Danio rerio: one gene and its partners. The protein of the gene in region 4 interacts with the protein of the main gene of each other region in a pairwise test. Links are inferred from orthologs where the notes say so. Each region holds a gene or a part of one and is shown on either strand. Other genes may lie near its edges. The genes, in order: chd3, mrpl44, pde4dip, immt and pfdn1.

Region 1 (3,522 bases), on a different chromosome or scaffold from region 4:
AGAGAATAAATGTTTATTATGCTAATAAATGTTAAATGCTTAAATGTTTTATTAAAAGCTTTCATTTTTACGTAGATCTTTTCAGCATATACAGTAAACAAAAGGTGTTAAAAATAGGTCACAGCTTGATGACATTTGAATTTACATGTTAGACAGACAAAGCCATATTAAAGTACAAATTATACTGTTATATTACTTACATTATATCTTATAAAAATATACAAAAACATATGAAACCATACAAATACAACATTTATGCTGTAGGACATCTTGAATTACTGAGTTAATTACATGTTACACACAATACTACAGTTTTGTCAATTAAAATAGCTCCTGATAAAGCATTTGCGTACTTCAGAACAAACATCTGTATTGTCCTTTTTGTTCTATGAATCATAATGAACCAATTGAATGAATTCAAAGATTCACTTATTAGACAGGGACTTGCTGACACCTACTGGTGGTTATTGTGCCACATTATTTTTCAATAGTGGGCCTAAAGAGATAGTTCAACCGTAAATGAATATTTTGTTCAAATATACTTGCAATTTTGGCAGCAGGGTGGCGCAGTGGGTAGCAAAATCGCCTCAAAGCAAGAGGGTCACTAGTTTGAGCCTTGGCTGGGTCAGTTGGCATTTCTGTGTGGAGTTTGCATGTTCCCGGGTTTCTTCCGGGTGCTCCAGTTTCCCCACAAGTCCAAAGACATGTGGTATAGGTGAATTGGGTAAGCTAAATTTTCCTCAGTGAATGTAGAAAGGGTATGGATGTTTCCCAGTGATGGGTTGCAGCTGGAAGGGCATCTGCTGCATAAAATTGGATGAGTTGGCGGTTCATACTACTGTAGCAACCCCTGATTAATAAAAGGACTAAGCCAAAACGAAAATGAAAACCGGGGAAAACTGGAGCACCCGGAGGAAACCCACATGAACACAGGGAGAACATGCAAACTCCACACAGAAATGCAACTCACTCAGCTGGAACTCGAACCAGCAACCTGCAATAAAAGTATCTTACCATTGAATCTGTCGATGGCTTCCTGACGGAGAGCTCCAGTGATGCCTCCATCTATCCGCTCATATTTATAACCCTCAGAATCCAGGAAGTCCTCCAGCAAATCCAGCATCTTGGTCATCTGACGAGGAAACAAAGTGTAAAAGTATAACTACATGATACAAATCAAACTTTCAGACCAAGTCGTTCAACGAATCAAATAAGTCTATCTGAGGAGCACCTAGCAAGCCATTTGCTCCACATTAGCCTGCAATGATCAGAAATATATGTTTATTTAAACAGAATGCTAATGAGAAACAAAACATGGTAAACACAAGTTATGGGGATTGTTCATCTAAAAATTAAGATTCCCTTATCACATTATGAATTTCATTCTTCTGTTAAACACAATATTTCCTGAACACTGTTGGAAAAAAACTTTGTTTTTTCCAACTCTTTTCCACTCAACATTCTTCAAAATATCTTCCTTTGTGTAAATGATGGCAGAGGTTTTAGTTTTGGGTGGACTATCCCTTTATAAACAAATGCTTAGTCTAATAATCAATACTTTACATTGTGCACCACCTGGGGGAACCAAACATACTGCCGTTTGAGAGCCTAATAGCAAATAAAGCATCTTCAGTATCGTGTACAGAGCAGGCTGTGTGAATGTGTATTTACCCATGTGCTCATACCTGAGAGAACACTAACACCCGGTGGCCTTGTTCTTTCAGTTTTCGGAGCATTTTCTGCAGCAGCATGAGTTTCCCAGAGGCCTTGGTAAGCCCAACACCTTCATACGCTCCACTCGGTGTCTTGGGAGCTTCCTAAAGCACACAAACACAGCATAACAGCCTAGGATACATATGTACACACGGACACAAAAAACAAAATGCAGCTATTATTCATTTTCTTTACAAACCTTTGGACAGCATTTGAGCCAGGTTTTCCAACAGCAGGTGGCAGTATTTCACACTACATCAGTTACTTTAGCACCAATCTAGCTCAAAGTGAAATGATTTATAGTAGGTGTCATGAATTTAATGTGTGCTCTTACGGCAGCAGCGACGGGGAAGAGGTAGGGGTGGTTGCAGCACTTTTTTAGGTCCATCATAATGTTGAGCAGAGACACCTGGTTCCCTCCTCCCTTGGAATTCAGCGCCTCGAAGTTACGCGTCAGAATGAACTTGTAGTATTTTCTGTTTACACAAAGAGTATGTATGATGTTTGTATTGTTATTATTTTTGTCTGAAGTCAACACATTTTGTTAAGGATATTGAGGTTGTGGGTCTCACTTCTGCATGGGGCTGAGCTCCACTCGGACGATCAGCTCCGTTTTTGCTGGCATGTTTTTAAACACATCAGCTTTGAGTCTCCGCAGCATGTGAGGGCCGAGCAGGTCATGCAGTTTCTTGATCTGGTCCTCTTTAGAGATGTCCGCAAACTCCTCTAGAAAACCCTCCAGATTGCTGAGGGATTGCAGAAACAAAGTGATTTATTAGTGAAATTATTACAACATGTCTGTTGATGTGACGCCTACATAACTTCAGTCACACTAAAATTGGCATATCATAGATTTAGATAACATAATACGTTTTACTGTGCAAATTGGGTCATTTTGAGTAAATAAGCACGCTTTTGTGTAGGGTCCTACTTGAAGCGGTTGGGTGTCAGGAAGTTAAGCAGGTGGAAAAGCTCTTCCAGGTTGTTCTGGAGTGGAGTTCCTGTTAGCAGCAGCTTATGGTCTATCTTGTAGTCGTTCAGTCTCCTGAAGAACTAACACACCACAACAACAGACATCAGTTAATGAAACACACAAAATCTTTATTTCAGTCAGCTAAAATTATACATGGTTCTTTACAAAAACTGTATGTATAGCAAGGTTAGCATAACTTGCCAATAATAAAACATCATGCATCTTTTTGCAAAAGGTGTATAATAGTAGATTTATTGAGCAATTTGTTTTTGTAAGGCAATCTCTATAGTCTTTTGCTGTTTGTTTAAACTACTTATTTAAAATTGAAATAACACAATTTTTATGTTTTTCTTTTTGGGAAACAACATAATTGTTTGATGGTTAATCCATTTAAATTTGTAAAAAAGATTAGGTTAAAATCAATTTGTGTTGGGATAACATGAAGGGATTGTGTGGAACCCAGCATTTTTTACAGTGTATGCATAGATTTTGATTATCCTTAGTTAACATACAGCATAACAATTGAAACATTTGGGGTTGGAAAGAGTTTTAATACTGAAAGTAATTACAACAATTTTGTAGAAAGGACTCTATAAAGTAATAAAGAGTCACTTGAAAGAAAAATGACAGAAATTTTTCACTTATTCATTTAATTTTCATCAAAGAATCCTAACAAAATATATTACAGTTTTCACAAAAAAATATTCAGCAGCACAACTCTAGCAAACATTAATAACATTACGGAAAGTTTGTTCAACACCAAGTCTGCATATTTGAATAGACTTAAAGATCATGTGTTATGTTTAATTTACTTAAATTTGTAAAAACTATTGGGT
Region 2 (3,522 bases), on a different chromosome or scaffold from region 4:
TTAGGAACGCTCTTTTCTCTATTTTACACGGATTTATTCTTCATTTAATTATTTAACCCTTGTGGGCTGTTTGGGATGTTTTCATCCACTCCCGGGTTATTTTGAGTCTTAATTTGGATAAAACTTTCTCTGTGTTTTAGCATATGAAAAGACTTTTGGTTACAAATCTTATTTTGACAAATATTTTAGGAAAATGCTTTGAAAGTTTTCAAAAGCTCAACAATACACTGAGCAAATTTACTACCCTTCCGTTGTGTTGGTGGCTGTTTTTGCCCCATTGACTTTCATTATAATGACATTTTTTGATAGATACCTGTTAGAAACAGGTAAAATTAGCAATTTTTACTAGTGATCAACAGTTGCAGTGAAAAAAAAAACATAGTTTCTGGCTTTTATATGGAGTACATGTGTGCACATGTGAGAGAGAGAGACCTTTGCTCACTTACTTTGATATGTCTGAAAAATCAGACAGCAGCTCAGCTCTTACAACACAGTAAACATAGTAAAGCCTGGTTTATACTTCTGCGTCAAGTGACCGGCGCAACTCACGGCGCAGGCAACGCGCGTGGCTGTGCATTTATACTTCTGCGCGCTGTCTCCGTTGGTCTGCATTAACACTTCCGAAACGCTAGTGGGCAGTGAGGTGTAAATGTTCCTCTGTGTCGAGTTTCTTCGCTTCTGTTTTGCTATTCTGAACACTTCCTGGATGTACAAGTGACTCAAACTCGCTCATTTTGAGGCAGGAACCAGCGGACGTGCAACAACTTTAACCATGAGGTAAACAAAGAACAAAACTTTCCATCCGGAGCTCCTTCACGGGACTCCACACTTGTAAACAATCGCTCGCGCCATTCGCGCGGCTCTCGGTCCCGCCCAGACTCGTCGGCGCTAGCAAGCCGACCAATCACAGAGCTTGCGCTACGCGTTGTTGCGACGTGTAGTTACAATTTTTGAGAGGTGCACGTCAGTGACGGCGACGGCCACGGCGATGGGCTATGCGTCAGCGCCGTAGCATACGCCGGTGTTTGACGCAGAAGTATAAATCAGCCTTAAGTGTACACTACATGACAAAAGTCTTGTCGCCTATCCTAAGTTTTTAGGACCAACAAATAATAACTTGATTTTTACACTTATTTTACCAAAACAAAACATGATCATGCCTTGATTTTTAATTATTTGTACAGTAAGGTCTGAAGCCTGGTTTATACTTCTGCGTCAAGTGACCGGCGCAACTCACGGCGCAGGCAACGCGCGCAGCTGTGCATTTATACTTCTGCGCGCTGTCTTTGTTGGTCTGCATTAACACTTCCGAAACGCTAGTGGGCAGTGAGGTGTAAATGTTCCTCTGTGTCGAGTTTCTTCGCTTCTGTTTTGCTATTCTGAACACTTCCTGGATGTACAAGTGACTCAAACTCGCTCATTTTGAGGCAGGAACCGGCAGACGTGCAACAACTTTAACCATGAGGTAAACACAGAACAAAACTTTCCATCCGGAGCTCCTTCACGGGACTCCACACTTGTAAACAATCGCTCGCGCCATTCGCGCGGCTTTCGGTCCCGCCCAGACTCGTCGGCGCTAGCAAGCCGACCAATCACAGAGCTTGCGCTACGCGTTGTTGCGACGTGTAGTTACAAATTTTGAGAGGTGCACGTCAGCGACGGCAATGGCCACGGCGAAGGGCTATGCGTCAGCGCCGTAGCATACGCCGGTGTTTGACGCAGAAGTATAAATCAGCCTTGAGTTTGCTTAGACAAAAATCTTGTAACTTAACAGAAATAATGTACAGTGTAGAATATAAAGTCATGATGGAGTGGAAAAAGAGTTAATATTGTGTTTGACTTTCATGAGCTTATACGACTGCATCTATATATCTCTGCAATGACTCTAATAATTTATTAATAAAGTCATCTGGAATGACAAAAAAAGCGTTCCTGCAGTTCATCAAGATTATTTTAATTCATCTTCAATGCCTCCTCTATTTTACTCCAGACATGCTCAATAATGTTCATGTCTAGTGATTGGGCTGGCCAATCCAGGAGCACCTTGACCTTCTTTGCTTTCAGGAACTTCGATGTGGAGACTGAAGTATGAGAAGGAGCGCTATCCTGCTGAAGAATTAGCCCTCTCCTGTGGTTTTTAATGTAATAGCTAGAACAAATGTATAGATACCTCAGGCTGTTGATGTCGTCATCCTCTCTGCAGATCTCTAGCAAGCCCCACAACCTGAATGTAACCCCAAACCATGACTTTTCCTTCACCAAACTTGACTGATTTCTGTGAGAATCCTGGGTCCATGCAGGTTCCAATCTTAGTTCCTTCTGTAGTATTTGTGATGATTGGGATGCAGTTCAATAAATAATTCATCAGAAAAATCTACCTTCAGGCAGTTTTCCAAATGATTAACTAGAAGTCCAGTTATTATTTGTTGCTCTTACAACTGTGATCGATGAAAAGACTTTTGTCAGGTAGTGTGTATTTATGCATACACACTTTCATTTGTTGTTGTTCTCCATAGAAGTTTTTCTAAAGGGATAATAGTGTCAACTGATGATTAACAGTAAAAATTACAAATTTGACCTCTTCTCAACAGGGAAAACCACCAACAATCAAGAATGCAGGATTATATGCTGTCATGGCTTTGCAATCAAAAAATGTCATTATAATGAAAGTCAATGGGGTAAAAACAGCCAAAAAGATTATGAAAGGGTAGTGCATTTCAACAATACACAAGGGTTAATTTAATCATATATTTAGTGTTATAACTATGGTTTAACCTCTGTTGTTTAAATTATATTGTGTATGTTTGAGGGATATTTGATTTCATAAGTCAGACTGACTGAATTATTCAGAAGCAGCTCTTCCTATAGAATAACAAAACTCAGTCTCATGAATAATATTTAGACAGCTAACACTTCACTGGAGTACACAGAGGCTTATGCTACATCACCAAAAGTAACGCTGCCTGACAGAGATTTTAAAGCTGAAAGATTTTAAAAAATTAGAGGGGTAAAGCTCAAAATTAGCCAGTTTTTCCCTTACAGTAAAAGCTAACAGATACTAACGTTGTTTTAACAGATTCTAACGTTGATTTTCAACATGCATAAATCTGTTCAAATCTTGCAACTCAGATGATTTAACTCTACTTTTCTTTACTACCTTTCCGTTGGCTCCTGCTTCTGCATTTTACAGCCAAGTTCCTCTTTGATAAAAGCCTAATTAATACAGTTTTGATGTTAGACAGATATCAACAAAACAGATCTGGCAACCGGGCATAGATCTGCTTTGTCTGGCGTGGCAACTGTGATCTGACTGTGCTTACCGTAGTGAAGTGTTGACCGTGATCACGCAGCTCAGTGTTGTCTTTCAGGTTAAGGATGGCGGACTCTGAATCCAAACCCAGCGCTTTCCTCCTCTCCACCTCAGAGCGTAGGTAACAGGAATTCACAAACGCCGTCTTCAGCAAATCCACAGAGAAACTCTCCTGCAGACGGACTCCGAAAGCTTCCACCTCAGCATGGTAA
Region 3 (3,522 bases), on a different chromosome or scaffold from region 4:
TCTGCCCTGCTTTGTGAACAAGCAAAACAATGCAGCCAATTATACTTAGTTAAAAAGCTGAGCTAAGACATTTCTTAGAACCTCTTCATTGGGGGTTTAACTGTGTCAGTCCAGTCGCTCAATGGGAAAGAAATATCAACCAATCAATATGGCCTGTGTGCTGTACTCATCACATGTTCTGGCTGATTTGGTTTACTGACAGCAAAGGGAAACCTGATTTAACGACAAGCTCTGATCAATAAAGTGTTCAGCTGACTCACCGTATTGCAAGCAGCTCATGGCCTGATTTATCATCTGGGACTTCAGAGTGATCTCCTGCGAGGATGAAATAATTCAGTGCAATGTTTTTGTACGAGAATTGAGATATGTATGTTTGTGACTTACGACCGCTGATCTTGGTGCTGACTCTCTGTGCGAGCGAGATGCTTTGAGAGAGCTGGTCTCTGAAGCTTTGGCCCATGTAGTAATCGATGTCATTGGAGCGCAGAAGCTCTTCAAAGGTCTTGGTTGTGTCTCCGAGGTGCTGGGTCAGAATGTGGCACATGCCACGGCCCTCCCGCATCTTCTGCCGCAGGTGAGACAGCTCACGGGCCTGGGCCTGGATCAGCGTGTCAAACTTACTGCAGGGAGAATGGGAAAAAAGTGATGTTTGTAAAACGATATAATGGTGAAAATAGATCTGTGAAATGTGTAGTTCCTACAGCTGATTTAATAAGGAATCATACAGTATATAACTATAAATAAGTAAACAAACATATACAAATATAATAAATTATTAAAACATTGTTTAAAAAAACAAATAAAAAAATGTAACAAATTAAATGTAAAATATTTTTTATGTTTTATACATTTCATGTTTTCACATCATTTAATATTCAAAAAAAATTCTGTAAGTAGAAAAAACATTTTATTATGGAAAGCAAATCAAATATATAATTATAACTTTATCTTACATTTACTTTTATTGACATTTCCATATACAGAGTACGTAAACTTGTAATATGTAACTTAATTTACTTAACTATAAATTAGGGCTGCACAATATATTGTTTCAGCATCAATTTTGCAATGTGTGCATCTGCAATAGCCACATCGCAGGATAGGCAATGTTGATTAGTTGATTACAATCAGTGCAGAGTTTAGTTAAAATGGAGTAAAAGTTTAACATCTGAATGTGTTTTTAAAGAGAAAGTTCACCCAAAAACTAAACTCACTTTACTCACTATTTTCATTTCACCCTCACTTGTTTCAAGCCTTTTTGAGTTTATTTTTTATGTTGTACACAAGAAGAAGATATCTTAATAACTCAAATAAATGTTTAAAACAAGCTAAGGGTAACTAAATAGTGAGTAAATGTACATTTTTGAGTGAACTATCCCTTTAAGGCCTGTGACTGTGTATACATTTCAAAGTTTAAAACATTTGTAACTTTTCCCCCTTCATAATTATTTAAATAGCCAAAAAACATACATTTATTAATCAACATAACTTAAAACACAACACATATATAAACATAATGCCTTAACATTGTGTAAAATGAAGACAACATCAGTACAATACAAGAAAAACCTGATAGCATCAGCATCCTTTTGTCCACTTACAATTACATTTGGCTTTAGAAGTCATTTAAGAAAGGATGCCACATGGCAGTGAACTTGGACCCAGAACTATTTAAATTAAGTCTTATTTTTTCCAAATTAAGGAAATGCAACACATCATTGGCCCACTGTTTAAAAGAAGGGGGAAATTACTGTTTCCAATTGATTAAAATCCAGTGTCTTGCCAAAAGAGAAGTAAAGGCAATACAATCCAATTCTATATTGTTTGTTACTTTAATAAATATTACACAATATAGAATAAATACTATGCAGTGTTCATTATTCAATATCTGAACGTGAATATTGTTAGACTCTCCAGAAATCTATAATTCACTTTATCTTTGCTATATTGCATTTATCCATGCTTGTAAGTTATTTGTTAAATTATTCGAGATTCACTTCTTTACAAAATCACCCCAAATCAATCTAAAATGAAAAATTCTTTCCAAATAAAGCAGTATTCTTATCGCAATATATATCGCAGAAATACAAAATATCGCAATGCCAGATATTTCCATTAATGTGCAGCCCTATTATGAATTAAATAAACACAAAAAGTGAATAATTATATAATATTTTATAATAAATGAATAATATAAAAAATATAAATAAAAAAAACATTAAATTAATTAAAAAATATTTAGAAAAATGACAAGCAATATATTGCTATTTTTGGCTTACACTTAATGCACATTGCAATGTAATGCAATGTATTAATCTTACATTTATTTACTTACATATTTATTATATATGAAACTTTTATAACATATCAAATCTTAAAATTAAAATTGATATATTACTCATGTTACATATTATATTATGAATGTACTCACCCCGGCCAGTTTCCATTTTTGCCATCATCTGCATGACCTTTGCCCTTCCTGAGCTGCTCCTCCAGTGACGTCACACGTGAGACGAGCTCCTGCAGCTCTCGGTCCTGCTTGGGCTGCCGTGGCAGTGACCCGAAACCGTCCGACGACTGCCAGCCCTCGTCCTCTTCAGCTGTACTCTGCGTCTCAGAGTTATCCAGGCCCCAGTTGACCTTGCGAGGAGTGCCGACTGGAGTGCAATCACGCATCTGGGCTTGCAGGCTGCGAATCAGAGCCTGAGATCGCGACAGTTGACCACGCAGATCCTCCACCAGCTGCTGCAGGTACGTCACATCATGTTCAGGTTTCCCAGAGTTGTGTGTGGCGGGACCAGCCCACCACTGAGAGCCAGCATCCCGATAGGAGAGAGATGTGCAGAGCTCCAGATCATCAAACTCTGCAGCAGAGGAGGACATGCTTGCGTCAATGAAATCAAACTTCAAAGTTTAATACACTTCATCAAATTGGAAAGAATTAGACACTCACTGAAAGCTTCTTCTAAGAACTTTTGATAAAATATAGCATTCTCTCTATGGATAAATGGAAAAGTACACTCCCTGCATACTGGAAGATCCTTTTTACATTCTTCTGTAATGGCTCATGTTATCAGACTTTCAGCTTTTGTGCAAACAGTTGTTTAGGTGGGCACAACTGTGTTTTTATTTAAAAAATTAGTTTTTTTTTTTCGGTGGCGCAGTGGGTAGCACGATTGCCTCACAGCAAGAAGGTCACTGATTTGAGCCTCATCTGGGTCAGTAGGCATTTCTGTGTGGAGTTTGCATGTTCTCCCTGTGTTCCCGTGGGTTTCCTCCGGGTGCTCTGGTTTCTCCCACAAGTCCAAAGACATGTAGTACAGGTGAACTGGTAAAGCTAAATTGTCTGTAGCGTATGAGTGTCAATGAGTGTCAATGAGTGTGTATGAGTGTTTATGGGTAATTCCTTATAGGTTGCAGCTAGAAGGGCTTCCGCTGCGTAACACATATGCTGGATAAGTTGGCGGTTTATTCCACTGTTGCGACCCCAGATTAATAAAGGGAATAAGCCGAAAAGAATAT
Region 4 (2,492 bases):
CAATTTTTAATTTTAAAAAATAATTTTAAGATCAAAATTATTAGCCCCTTTAAGCTATATTTTTCAAGAGTCTACAGAACAAACCATTGATTTGTAATAACTTACAATGATTTGCCTAAAAAACCTAACCCACCTAGTTAACCTTATTAACCTAGTTAAGCCTTTAAATGTCACTTTAAGCTGTATAGAAGTGTCTTGAAAAATATCTAGTCAAATATTGTTTACTGTCATCATGGCAAAGATAAAATAAATCAGTTAATAGAAATGAGTTATTAAAACTATTATGTTTAGAAATGTGCTGAAAAGTCAGCGCAATACCCTAGTGGTTAGTGTGCTGACATATGGTGTAGTAGCACTTCAGGGTGCCCGAGTTCGAATCCCGGCTGTAGGACATTTCCTATCCCTAACTCACTCTCACTCTCTCTCCCATGTCACTTCCTGTGGGGGGAGAAACTATCAAACTATCACTTTCATCCAAATTCACAGACATGCAAAACACCGAAATGCCATTCATGTCAACAACCATGATTTATTGATCGCCAATACTGAATGAGAGAAGGACTGATTCTCAACAGTCTGGGTTAATAAACAACCAGTAAATATAACTTTGAAACTGAAGAGTTACATTGTGAAATGGTGAACAGGAGTAAAGCTGCCAACCACAGTGCTGATCCAGCGGCCCTTCAACCTGCGCATTTGATCCTAACCAGTGAGAGTGCACCATATACACTGAGGAGTGCCACTGCCAAGCTCAACAAAACCTTTGAGATGCGTTTCCCGCAAATGAGGTACAGCTACTGGTTGTTCTGCATGGTAGGCCACTTAAGAGTACTTTTAAGGGCAAGGACTTCCTGGAAAAAAGTGCATCGGGGAGATGAGAAACGCTAATATTTTGGGCTAGCACGCAACCTATTAATAAATTAATCAGAGGAGCGGAAGGTTCTATTAATAGCGGGCGAGCAACACTCCTCATAATTTACATAATCTCCACAGAGTGGGTGTGGCTAAGGGGCCTGTGTGGTGCCCAAGCCTACGGCATTAGCATATGCTGATAGCAAGCTAATCACCTGCTTTGTTTCTAAAGTGAGCCGGGCTTCTTTGAGCCAGTCCTGCGCCACGCGCTGTGATTCTCCGCGAAGTTGGTTGACGAACTTAGCGGCTAGTTCCAGGTCGCCGCGCTCGATGCTGTAAGTAGCGTAGGCTAGCAGCTTGAATGTGTCAAGGTCTTCAGGGGCTAGTTTCGCAGGTGGCGCTTCTTGATCCCTCTCAAACAAAAGGACGGACTGTAGGTAGGACAGGAAGTACTGGTAAAGGCTGTTGCGGGTTTCGTCGATAAGCGCCACACGTCGTGCGAGCCTGCGGATGTCGTAGAAACGTGCGCGAAGGGAAGCTTCACTGTAGATTCCTCGGTTGAGGGACTCTTCAGGAATGGCGATGGCCAGTGCCTGTGCAAATTCGTTTTCTGCGCAGCTTTCTTTAATAGCACGTACAGCGCCCTCTAGAGGCTCAGTGGGGGAATCAGCACCTGCAGATTTCAGCGTGTAGTTTAGAGCTTCAACCGAAAGCCACAGCTGGTGAGCTTTACGAGCCTCTTCCTCAGCAATCACATGACCTTGAAGACAAAACAAATATTTGATATGTGAAAAATGAGAAACAATATCAGTCAAGTCACATCGAGATCAAGGTTTTTTAGTTCAGCATTTTTAGTTTGTTTTTAATTCAATAATATATTAAAAATTGCTGTAAATTTCATTTAGTAGTTTTTTTGTTTTAATTTAGATTTGTTCATGGGAACACATTTTCTGTTTAGTTCTGATACATGTAGTTTTAGTAATTCTAGTATAACAAAGTTAACAGATTATGTCCAGTCTAGACCACAGCAAAGTTTAATGTTTGCGCAGCTTAATTTAACCCTTGTTCAAACTTTTTAGTAATAAAAGTACAAAAATAGTTTGGACAGACACTGAACCCAAAGCCATTAAACAAATAATAGAGAAAAGTAAAAAGTAGCGCCATCTACAGGTAATTTTCTGAAAAGCTGCAAGGTAAATTTTCTGCTGCAGAATCAGATCATTTCGAATCATTATTTTATTTCAGTTTTTTTTTATTGATTTGTTTTAGTTTCAGTTCTAGTTTTTCATTTATTGTGATTTTTCTTATTTTATATCAGTTAACAAAAATATATTTGACCAACAGATTTAGTCTTGGTTTTTTGTTTACTAAAATAACCTTGATCGAGATTCAAATGGTTGTAGCCGTCTAGCAAACTTACTGTCTATGGCCTCTTCAATGCCTTTCAGACGAGCGTAAGCTGCGTTCATGTCCAGGGTGAAGGTGTCCAGCTGTTCTTGAGTCAGTCTGCGGTAATGAGTTTCTTGCTCCATCATCTTACTGTTCAGAATCTACAAACAAAGACAGAACCTATTTAGATTGACATGATATACAGTTTTTTGCCATCTGCTTACGTAGGAATAATTAAGTTACATACCCTA
Region 5 (4,075 bases), on a different chromosome or scaffold from region 4:
ACATTTTTACAGCATCTTTGATAATATTTTTATCTTCTGGAAAAAGTGTTATTTGTTTTATTTCGGCTAGAATAAAAGCAGTTTTTAAATTTTAAATGTCACTTTAAGCTGTATAGTAGTGTCTTAAAAAATATCTAGTAATATATTATTTACTGTCATCATGGCAGAGATAAAATAAATCCGTTATTAGAAATGATCTATTAAAACTTTTATGCTTAATTGGGGGAAAAAATTAACAGGGGGGCTAATAATTCTGACTTCAACTGTAAATTTACAATAAAATTTTATTCATTTTTTTCCCTGAATTTGCATAAAATAGCAAAAAACGTGCATACATGTTTATATTCTGTTTTAGAAAACACGTCGCTTCTGATGAGTTAAAAAAAAATCTAAATTTGGCGGAAATGACATTGATTTTTGTTTTCTGAATGAAATACAGGGTTCTGCAGGTTTCACAAAATTAAATTTAGGACATTTTAAGACATTTTTAAGACCATTATGAATGCAATTTTAGACTTATACAGAACTTAATGCTGAGGATTTTTTATATCCAAGTTAGAAAAGATTTTCACTTGCTAGATAAAAAAAATATTAACATTGAATACAGGAAATATTATGTTTCAATATTTTTTTTATAAATTTTCAAAAATATTCATCTACAAACCCAATAATCAGGGCCAGACAGAATCTGCTGACATTTTTGCTATTTCTGCTGAGAAATTTGTAAAATAAAAAAATAAAAAAATAAAACAGCTGATTTTTGTGGAATGATTATGGTTATAGCGTCATAACTAAAAACTTAATACATGAAATAAAAGCAACAGCTTTTTAGCTCTTATGTTTACAATGCAAATCCAACTAGATCCACGTATTTAGTAAACAAAGCAAGTTTCTCATAATACATCCACTAAAAGACAGAAAATATTACTCTAAAAACTGAATTGTAAATACATCATATGAACATTTTAATATTACTATTGTTATATCACAATAATATTATTGAAAACAATTTAAAACTGAATAAATATAATTTTATACACATTTATACAAGTAAATAAATAGACTCAATGATGGGCTAAAAGTCTGCGGAAATTTGCATGCGCAGATTCCGTGTGGGCCTTCCTATAACCCTTACCAAGAATAGAACAAAGCATAGCTGTCAATTACTTCCGTCTACAATAATAATATTTTAATAATACAAAATGTAGGTCAGGTCAGCAACCACAGCGGTATATAAAGTGGAGTACTTTTTAACAAATGTTACTGTGAGAAAAGTAATTAAATGCTATTTTTAAATAAAACGTTAAAAGTTTTATTGAGATTGGGATTGTTGGTGATTGTTGAGTGTTAATGGCCAGATTGGGTAGTTATTCATGAACATAGGAAAATTAAGACCTGCTAAAAAATATTTAAGACCTACAACACAATATTTTAGTAAATCTAATACTTTTTAAGGCCTAAAATTTTGTTTTTGAGATTTAAGACATTTTAAGACTTTTTAAGACCCCACAGATATCCTGGAAATAACACAGATTTTGTTTCTATTTATAAAAGCTTTATATTTATAATTTGTATGTGTCATCAAATGAGTAATTGTGATTATTGCATTGCAAAATGAATGCAAATAAAATATCTTATGTATATATTAATATATTAATACACATTCATTTAAAAAAAAATGTTTATTTATAATTATCTATCATTAATGTTTGCATATAATACTAATTATACATAAATATAACTGTATTTTTATAATAATAAATCATCTATAGATATAATAAAAAATATTATTTTGTATGTTACTAATTACGATTAAACATTTGACAGCTCTTTTTGACAGCACAATAATAACATTTTTTTCACATTCATATGTAATACAGCAAATTCAGCATTTCCTATAGCTGTAACTGTTATATTTAAACAATTTATATGTTGTTATATGTTGTTGCAGTTGGTAGGGCATTCGTTATGTAAAACATGTGCTGGATAAGTTGGCGATTCGTTCCACTGTGGCGACCCCTGATGAATAAAGAGAAGCCGAAGTAAAATGAATGAATGAATGAATTAGTTGTGACAAATTTGGTGCCACTAATAAATCTTTCCCAGGTTTTCAACATAAATTCTAGAACAAAAATAAGACACTTAGAAAGTCACAACATATAATCTATAAATATATATAAAATATACATAAATATAGACATCACTAAATATTTTGTAAATAAAAAATATTATTTTGCATGTGACTAATTATGATTAAACATTTGACAGCTCTTTTTGACAGCACAATAATAAATTTTTTATCAAATTCATATGTAATACAGCAAATCCAGCATTTCCTATAGCTGTAACAGTTATATTTCAACAAATTATGTCATATATATATATATATATATATATATATATATATATATATATATATATATGGATAAGCAAAAACTAAAGAATAAGCCATATTGAAAGCTTCCTATAGCATGTAATGATGTGTTGATAGATTGATATGTGTTTGGATATTCATTTCTAAAGGATTTACAGTGGTAAACTATAAATATGACGTTGCACATCTTTATAACAAACAATACACATTAAAAGGATTCGCATGCACCTACGTTACACACTGACAGATCGCGTTGCTTAAACAGTTTTATACCTTACTTCTGCTCCACAAAAGCTTAATAACATTTATTCAGTATTTTATCATAACAAAGTAACAACTCTGTTTGGTTTTTAGATATAAAACCAAAAACCACCCTTTACCTTCTTCAACTCGAGGTCTACGGGAGCCGCCATGATGCTAAGTGGTACGAGTCCCTGCGCATGCGCGAAACAAAGAGCTTGTTGCAAAACCTAGTGAGCGGCCTACATAGACAACATTTTCAATGTCAGACAGGCAGGCAATCCACAATAAATGTTCACTAAAAAGGCAGCTCGGTAGTTTTGCAGACACGGTAAGTTTGTGGACTACTTTCAATCTCAAAACAGTGCAACAGAAATGACAGTATATGATAAAGGTTTCAGCGTTATACCAATGTTAGCGTCAAAATGTTTAGAAGCTGACTCTTAATTTAAGCGGACTTTAAGCGGACTTATTTTTAGTGTCTATTATTGTGTGCTACATGTAAAATGTGTCACCCCAGTGGCAACATTGCTCAAGATTTTTTTATTACTATTAACGTGTTGTTTTGTATTGTAAAGTCGTGTATGTTCTGCATTTTAACTCCTGTTAACACTCTGTTTGGTTTCCTCAGGAGACAAATGATGGTAAACCAACTTGAGACTTAAATCTCCAAGCTAAAGACAAGTATATCAGATGTAGTAATGACAACACAATATTTTTATAACTTCACACAGTGAGTGTTTAAACTTTACAACATACATCTGTATATCTGCAGATTTATATCCGACACACTAAAATTTTATAAATAAAAAATAGTAAATCTAAATAATAAAAATAGTTTTATTATTGGTTGTGGGACGACACGGTGGCTTAGTGGATAGCACTGTCTTCTCACAGCAAGAAGATCTCTGGTTCGAGTCCCAGCTGGGTCAGTGGGCAATTCTTTGGAGTTTGCATGTTCTCTCCATGTTGGCGTGGGTTTCCTCAGGGTGCGCCGGTTTCCCCCACAGTTCAAAGACATGCAGTGAATTGAATAAACTAAATTGGTACTGTATGTGTGTGAATTTAATGAGTGTTTATGTATCTTGTCCAGTACTGGGTTGCAGTTATTAGGGCATTTGTTGTGTAAAACATGTGCTGGTTAGTGATTCATTCCACTGGGGCAAACCCCTGATAAATAAAGAGACTAAGCCGAAGTAAAATGAATGAATTAATTAGTTGTGACAAATACGGTGCCACTTATGAATCTTTCCCAGGTTTTCAACAAAAATAAGAGACACTTAGAAAGTCACAATAGTTTATTAAACAGCAGAAATTTGTTACCATTGCTTGAAATTAGTACATGAAATCATGTAATTTATACTAAACGCATAAAACAAACACACTAATAAACGTATTCCATTTTATTTCACTTAATTTAAGCTACACTTTCTCAGTAATACATATAAAAAAGGCTTAAGC

What was found.
Region 1: the proteins of immt (region 4) and chd3 interact in a two-hybrid assay, tested with the Homo sapiens proteins (2 studies listed by BioGRID and IntAct). The link is inferred for Danio rerio from reciprocal best matches to the Homo sapiens genes IMMT and CHD3.
Region 2: the proteins of immt (region 4) and mrpl44 interact in a two-hybrid assay, tested with the Homo sapiens proteins (2 studies listed by BioGRID and IntAct). The link is inferred for Danio rerio from reciprocal best matches to the Homo sapiens genes IMMT and MRPL44.
Region 3: the proteins of immt (region 4) and pde4dip interact in a two-hybrid assay, tested with the Homo sapiens proteins (2 studies listed by BioGRID and IntAct, with this or other methods). The link is inferred for Danio rerio from reciprocal best matches to the Homo sapiens genes IMMT and PDE4DIP.
Region 5: the proteins of immt (region 4) and pfdn1 interact in a two-hybrid assay, tested with the Homo sapiens proteins (2 studies listed by BioGRID and IntAct). The link is inferred for Danio rerio from reciprocal best matches to the Homo sapiens genes IMMT and PFDN1.

The regions. Positions count from the first base shown.
Region 1 is NC_133182.1:20,717,889-20,721,410, forward strand, and holds part of chd3 (chromodomain-helicase-DNA-binding protein 3), read right to left. Parts: intron 2,767-3,522; coding exon 2,645-2,766; intron 2,460-2,644; coding exon 2,286-2,459; intron 2,190-2,285; coding exon 2,048-2,189; intron 1,818-2,047; coding exon 1,686-1,817; intron 1,133-1,685; coding exon 1,015-1,132; intron 1-1,014.
Region 2 is NC_133190.1:37,847,691-37,851,212, forward strand, and holds part of mrpl44 (large ribosomal subunit protein mL44), read right to left. Parts: coding exon 3,321-3,522; intron 1-3,320. UniProt on the Homo sapiens protein: Component of the 39S subunit of mitochondrial ribosome. May have a function in the assembly/stability of nascent mitochondrial polypeptides exiting the ribosome.
Region 3 is NC_133195.1:37,890,433-37,893,954, reverse strand, and holds part of pde4dip (myomegalin), read right to left. Parts: intron 2,865-3,522; coding exon 2,432-2,864; intron 621-2,431; coding exon 385-620; intron 316-384; coding exon 261-315; intron 1-260. UniProt on the Homo sapiens protein: Functions as an anchor sequestering components of the cAMP-dependent pathway to Golgi and/or centrosomes.
Region 4 is NC_133189.1:18,417,876-18,420,367, reverse strand, and holds the end of immt (MICOS complex subunit MIC60), read right to left. Parts: intron 2,403-2,492; coding exon 2,273-2,402; intron 1,613-2,272; coding exon 1,005-1,612; 3' UTR 510-1,004; downstream 1-509. UniProt on the Homo sapiens protein: Component of the MICOS complex, a large protein complex of the mitochondrial inner membrane that plays crucial roles in the maintenance of crista junctions, inner membrane architecture, and formation of contact sites to the outer membrane.
Region 5 is NC_133196.1:32,811,844-32,815,918, forward strand, and holds the start of pfdn1 (prefoldin subunit 1), read right to left. Parts: upstream 2,801-4,075; 5' UTR 2,788-2,800; coding exon 2,755-2,787; intron 1-2,754. UniProt on the Homo sapiens protein: Binds specifically to cytosolic chaperonin (c-CPN) and transfers target proteins to it. Binds to nascent polypeptide chain and promotes folding in an environment in which there are many competing pathways for nonnative proteins.